2 linked regions of the Drosophila melanogaster genome follow. The protein of the gene in region 2 interacts with the protein of the main gene of each other region in a pairwise test. Each region holds a gene or a part of one and is shown on either strand. Other genes may lie near its edges.

Evidence for each region.
Region 1: the proteins of CG15800 (region 2) and e(r) interact in a two-hybrid assay, tested with the Drosophila melanogaster proteins (one large-scale study listed by BioGRID).

The regions. Positions count from the first base shown.
Region 1 is NC_004354.4:8,904,424-8,908,182, reverse strand, and holds the start of e(r) (enhancer of rudimentary), read left to right. Parts: upstream 1-1,934; 5' UTR 1,935-2,074; intron 2,075-2,192; exon of another isoform or gene 2,193-2,414; intron 2,415-2,594; exon of another isoform or gene 2,595-2,678; intron 2,679-2,798; 5' UTR 2,799-2,804; coding exon 2,805-3,119; 3' UTR 3,120-3,759.
Region 2 is NT_033778.4:23,790,029-23,793,301, reverse strand, and holds CG15800 (uncharacterized protein), read left to right. Parts: upstream 1-2,074; 5' UTR 2,075-2,109; coding exon 2,110-2,583; 3' UTR 2,584-2,688; downstream 2,689-3,273. Other genes in the region: sona (sol narae), read left to right, coding at 1,235-1,306.

The DNA.
Region 1 (3,759 bases), on a different chromosome or scaffold from region 2:
CGACATCGTGGACGGGAATAATGCGGTGATCGGTGACGTTGAAGTGGAGATCGCGAAAGGGGCCGTTGAAGAGGCAGCGCAACGGTGACGTCACCAGCACAGCATCTTCCGGAGGTAACTGTAAAAAATGTACAATATTTGTTGTATTTTAACGTATATCAAACATTTACTGATATAGTTTTATATTAAATCAAATACACCGCAACAAATCTCGTGCAAACATCAGATAAGATATTGATACGATACGATAATTAGTATAATATTTAAACAATGCGCAGTCAGGAGAAATATAGAATGGCTTATCAATTTTAAAATAAAACTAACGGAAACAGTAATATTGTACATATTTCAGTTTCAACTCAAAGCATAAGTTTCTCTGTAGCCAAGACACCATTTGGTAAGTTAAGAAAACTATTAAGTGGACGTTTTTTTTTTTACCTTGATTTTGCCATTGGTCGCCGAGAACATTGAGATTTCGAGATTTCAGCGATAAGAGATGAGCAACAACACAAATCAAATAGAATGCACAAGAAACACAGATACAACACCCACACATGAATGATCGTGCAACGGTGTGCGCAGAACAGTGAAGAGGAAGCAGAGAGACGAAGCAGAGGCGACAAATTGGACACGCGTGCGTCGCGTTGGTTGGATTTTGTGTTTTCTTATTTGACTATTGCCTTTTCGGTGCTACTTTAACGGGTTTCCCCGTTTCACAGCCTTTATCATCTTATTTTCGCAGGGCTTTTTTGCTTTTCAATTTACTGCCTGGGTTTCATTTAACTTCGCTGCTCTTCTACTTCATTCATTATTTGATTTGTTTACGTTGCTATTTCCCAATTTGTTTGCTTCTTTTCACTTCATTTTCTTTCAATTAGGACGCACACAAACACACAGGAAAAAACAAAAAAAAAAAAAGAGAGACACGAACGCCACTTGCACAATTGAAAATAACAACAAATTAATGGGAACGCGCGAAACACGGGCTGCTGCGGCTGCGCCTTCACTTTTCACTAAAACAAAAAGCACGTAAATAATGTTGAGACGAGATTTTGCTTTTTGTTGTTGATTTCTTTGCCGATCGCTCTGCCGCCGCTCGACTGCGCTGCCCGCGACACCGCGCTCTTCCAATTGGTCCAATTGAGATCAAACAGCTGGTGGGCACTCGGATCTTCGATTGCCGCTGTCTGGCAGCACTGGGAACAGTGAGAACAGTGGCCAGACTGCGGAGCTGGCGATGGGCGATAGTTTTGTTTCATTAAAAGTAACTTTTGACTTTATATTAAATACAATACTAAAAAATGTAAAAATATGCTTTTTAATATGCACTTTAAGTGAAAATGATTGTACATTAAGTTTACTTCATAAAGACTTTAATGACCATAATTTGTTGATGGGCGTTAATTTTATTCTAACTTAAATAAACGTAATACCTAATATTTATATGTAATAACAAAATAAAATGAACCTAAATAAATAATGCAATCCACTTTAATTTGACATTATAATTATAATTTTTTTATAAATATATAAAATAAAAATAATAAATAAATAATTTCCGTAGTTATTGTAATGTATTACTATGATGAGTATATGTTAAAAGCTTTAGTTAATTTTATTTAAAAAATCTGAAGACTAAATATGGAATGAATTACGCCAAATGAAATGAAAATATGCATTGAAAAACATGCTTTATACCTAAAGGCGTAATATACATAAAGTGTGCTTTTCAATAAAAAAGTGAATGAACATAATATGGAATCAAATACATATACAAATTGAAATGCAAGTATACATTGATACAATTAAGTATAAAAAATCACAATTGTCATTTAATTTGGTAAATATTATTAAACAATGTATATCAAATAAAAGATGTTAGTATTAATCGATATCTTTCGATTATTTTGTCACGGCGAGGCACGCAGCGAAGCGCTCATCTCTAGCTTCAGCCTCCTCTTCAAAACCCATAGAACTGGCAAAATAAAAAAAAACGAATCAAGCGCTGATTTTACCGAATCTCTTTACTGAATCAGCATATTATCATAGTCCATATAGTCCGGCGTTCGAACGGGTAAGTTGAACACTAAACGGGAGACATGGGAATTATTTAAAATTCGAGAAAAATCGGTGAAAAGGAAGAAAAACAAGTGATTGCATACAGTTAGTTACACACACGCGGCGGCCGTTACTCCTTGTACATGTGTGTGCGTGTCTGTTCGCGCTTCCGAATGTTTGTGTTTTAGTGAAGCGGCATAAGCGTGCATTATCTTGTACAAATGTACGCATTTCTCCATTGCCAACATTCGCTTCACACACAAATTACTCGTTTTCCATGCTGGAAGTGCCATCTTAGTCTATTTCCCAGTTGCAAATTGGAAAATCAAAGAGCGTTCTGCTGGCCAGCATGTGTGGTGCGCGTGTATTGGTGTTGCGGCGAGAGCGCGAGCGAGATGGGGCGATGCGTTGCATGCGGCAACAGCATATCTCTTCCATCTCTTTCGTTTTTGTTCTTTTCCTTTTTTTTTTGTCTTTTTTTTTTTTGCTGACAGCTCTCTATGCTTCTAATAAATATTTATGCACAATTTTTGCAGAGCTGGCGAAGTAAACTTCAACTTCGAGAGTCTCGGAATCTTTCGGACTTTGCTATAGAAAAAACGCTTGTTAAAAAAAAGGATGTAAGTGATGAAGATGAAACGTAATGTAATGAAACGCACACTAGTAACATACATACATACATATCGCTTGAGTACATAGATCACCGCCAATAACATTAATGTTCCATTTTTGCCTTGCAGATCACCATGTCGCACACCATCCTATTGGTACAGCCGGGTGCTCGTCCGGAGACCCGCACTTACTGTGACTACGAGAGCGTCAACGAGTGCATGGAGGGCGTGTGCAAGATCTACGAGGAGCACCTGAAGCGCCGCAATCCAAACACTCCGACCATTACGTATGACATTAGCCAGCTATTCGATTTCATCGACACAATGGTGGACATTAGCTGCATGGTTTACCAGAAGAGCACCAATACCTATGCGCCCTACAATAAGGATTGGATCAAGGAGAAGATCTATGTGCTGCTCCGTCAGGCGGCATTTAGTTCCAATACCTAAAGGGACGGCGATGCGACAAGATACATACATATAAAACCAAATAACACGATGATGCATGCATCAATGCGTGCAACACTAACGACAACAACACGTTGATGTATGCAACAATGCGTGCAATAGCAACTACAACAACAACAACAATACGAGGATACATGCAACAGCGCTTGGAACAGCATCCGCAACGGCCACAACACCATAACACCAATAACACCAACAAGATGAGGAAGAAGAAGAAGATGATGATGGAGTGGTGGGGCATCGATTCCATTGGAGACTTGCTGCTACCGACTAGATCGCCAAATGACAGCAACTTTTTTTTGCAACATAACGCAATGCAAAAAAGGAAAAGGAACACAAAGAGAACGATAAACTGTATAACTTAGAAATGGAAAACTTACTTTAAACGTACTAATATATATATATATATATAAATATATATATAGGCGTATATATATATATATACTGTATATACACCCAACTGACAACTGTGTGTGTTTTTGTGTGTTTCAATGTTTTTTTGTGCGGCAGCCACAGGTGACGGTTGTTCTTATCGATAGCGAACTGTATGTTTGTTTGTTTGTAAAACCGAATGGCAAATTTGCAAGTGTGCATTTTTTTTTTGTATGTTTTGCCGTGTGTG
Region 2 (3,273 bases):
CGCCGCGAAGGTTGCCAACTGGCACTTTCTGTTAGCATTGATGCTTTTCTTATGGACTTCTGACGGCCATTACATGGTGGCAAAAGTCGGTTGACCTTTGGCCAAAATGGTTTTCATATTATTTGGAAGATTTTACACTTATTTGTAGCTACACATCTTTGAACGTGGCTTGCAAGCTTCCTTGTCATGCTTCTAAGCTCAAGTTCGTGTTCTAAGTCTTTTGTTTTGAAGCGCTTTCCATGTTTACTCAAAATATCGATTCCATTTTCTCATTTTTGCCTGCCCGCCGGCTGAAATAGGAAAAAGTGAACTTTCCTTGCGCTTACCTACAATTTTCGCCAATCCATGAGCAAGTGTCTTGGGGCATTGGCCTTGGGCTGGGTACCACCCACATTTGGCAATTGCTCAGCCGAACATTTCATTACGATTGATGATGATCGATTCGCCGGCGAGACTTTCTTTCACTCGAAGTGGGCCACGGCAGTTCGGATCTTGCAGCACGTTGCATGCAAATTGTGCAAAACCTTTGGGATATAAAATGTCATGCAATTTGTCGTAAATGTCGCTGAGAAGTTGCGACACGGCAACGTGAAGCGGCTGTTGCTGCTGCTGCTGCTGTTGCTGCCTTTGTTGCCGCTGGTCAGTTCTGTTTGTTTTCTTGGTTGGTTTGTCAAAAGGTTGGATGGATGCTGTTACCCCCTCGCCACGCATCGCTGCATCATTATTGACAATTAGCCGCATTCGATGGCGGGCGGATGTGCAACTGCAACTGCAACGGCAGCACAAACAGCAATCAACAGGGCAGCACAAGATTGTTTTATGCCTCGAGGCTGCTTCTTGGCCTTATGCAATAATTAATTACTCGGCCAGCGGGCCAGAAAACTAGGTTTCTTTCTACAAAACTAAAAGTAAATATTAATTGAAGCAGCAAGCGGCGTTTGAGTTGCAACAACAGATGCTAACTGTACTCGCGTTGCAAACACAGTGCTGTCCATTCGAGCATGACCAGGACGGGTTTGTGGGCAGGGAACTAATGGTCATGTGAGGTGGTAAGACCATTATTTGGGAAATAAATACTTTGCATGCTGGCCCATTGCGTGAATATATTGGCAAATGGGATGTGGCTAATAATAATTAATATTTAATTTATTTAATTTTCGTTTCCCCTTCGTCTCTTTGCAGTTTAAGCATTTTTAAGGATTATATTAGCACCCTAGGCGGCCGAAGCAGTAAGATGTCCTCACCACTGGTCCTTTTCACAGCGCTCCTCCTGGTCAGCAGCACAATATGCCAGGGCCTGCCAGATGTAAGTACCCGCAGATATGATCAATGCCAAGTGCAAGAACTCATCAATCAATCGGTGCGATATAAATAACCTTTGGGCTCTTATAATGCCATAAAGCCAGCTGTTAACGGATAAAAAGGGGCAAAAAAAAAAAAAAACGAACAACAAATGGCCGCCAGTCGGCGGTTTCATTGTCATTCGCATTGTGCGTAATTAGCATTTCGAGAAATACAAAACATTTTTTGTATATTAATTAAATTACAAAACAGAGCAGAGCGCAGTGCCGAAGAGAGTCGTCGTTAGAAATAAAACATTGGCATTGTGTGTTTGCATTGTGGGCCAGGTTTCTGAGTGCGCCTGTATGGGTACGTATCTCATTGACACACAGCACAGCTTTTGTCTCGAGTTTTTTTTTTGCTTTTCGTTTTCGAGAAAAAGCTTGGCCAGCAAAATTATGGCCAAGGTCGGACGTAAAAAGTTCTTGTAATTATTTCAAGTGAATTTCAGACTGTCCCTCCCTCCGTTTGTTTACTAACTTTTATTTTATTATTCTGCTGTCGTTGGCCATTTGCTAGCCGCCTTCTTTACACTTTTCTCTTTCATTGTCACTGCCTTTGTTGCGGAGGTTATGGCTTTGGTTGGTCGCTTGGAAACTTTGTGATTACAGCAGATGGTGGTTTATTTCGATATTGAACTCCAATTTGAACAATTTCCAGAGGTAGAGTAGGCACAAGTTTGTGGTTTAGTTCGTATTGATTGCAAGCAGTAGGCCCTGACTTTCTGATCCGAAGCTCTTAATTTGTTATTCGAAATTCGGTTCAAGAATGGTGCGATTCGAGACAAGGGATGGCCGTACGATAAGCGTAAATCTGGCTCTGCTCGAGAAATCCTTGGTGATCCGGGAGATGTGCCGCGTTGGCCAGGTCCCAGAGGATGAGGACTTCGTCCTGCCGCTGCACGGTATACACAGCAATGTCCTGCTGAAGATCTTGCTGTGGGCTGAGTACCATGAGAAACACGAAGAGCCCGCCTGGGTGGACAGCAAAGATCCTCTTCCGGCCGAGGAGATTGAGCTGCAGATCTCCGATTGGGACAAGGAGTTCCTGCGCGTGGAAATCGATAGCATTTGCAAAATCATGGAGGGCTGCAACTACTTGGACATCCCTTGGCTCTACAAGCTCTGTGCCCAGAAACTCGTCTTCCTCAGCAGCCGAGAGCCGGAGACGCAGTTCAGCGGTTACGTGGAGAAGATCCCAAGATTCCAGGATCATTTCATTGAGCAAATTCAAAAGGAATAGGGTGATTTGTAAAAGGAACGTTTGGGCTAAAATTGTCTCTTGGCTGTATTCAAAACTGCTGAAATTCAAAGAATAAAAAATATTAATAATAATAGTAGTAACTTTCCGTTTTCGTAACCTATTACAATGAAATATTCAAATTTAGCACGAGAACCCACATTTTATTTTCACGTTCCCTTGACTTTTTTTTTTTGGAAACACTTAAATATAGACCATGATATTTTGGGTTCCGATTTTGGAGCAAGTTCGTGTTGGCGGAGACATCGACCCCCTAGCCTTGCCAAAGTGCTGGCATAAAAAAGTGCCCCATAAACGACTTCGTCTCCGTTTTCCACTGCAATTAAAGTTGACACGCTACACCAGCAACAACAAAAGCGACTAAAACAGCCCAAGTAACAACAACTTTGACGAGGCCCTTCAAATCCCAGCCGAGCATGAAAAGAGTGATGTAAAAAACGAACTGAGGTTGGTTCATGCAAAACACCACCAGAATATCGATTCGGATTCGAGTGAGTCAGCAGTCGGCAGTTGGCAGTTTTGTAGGTTTGCATTTTTGCTTTATGTGCTGTCAGAAATGCAAAGGAATATGAGATATCTAAATGTTTGCGGCCTATCAATTGCCGGCCAAATAAATTAAGCCTTTAATTGTGCAATCCAGAATGGTTAGCCGCACGATTTGTTGTTGTTTCC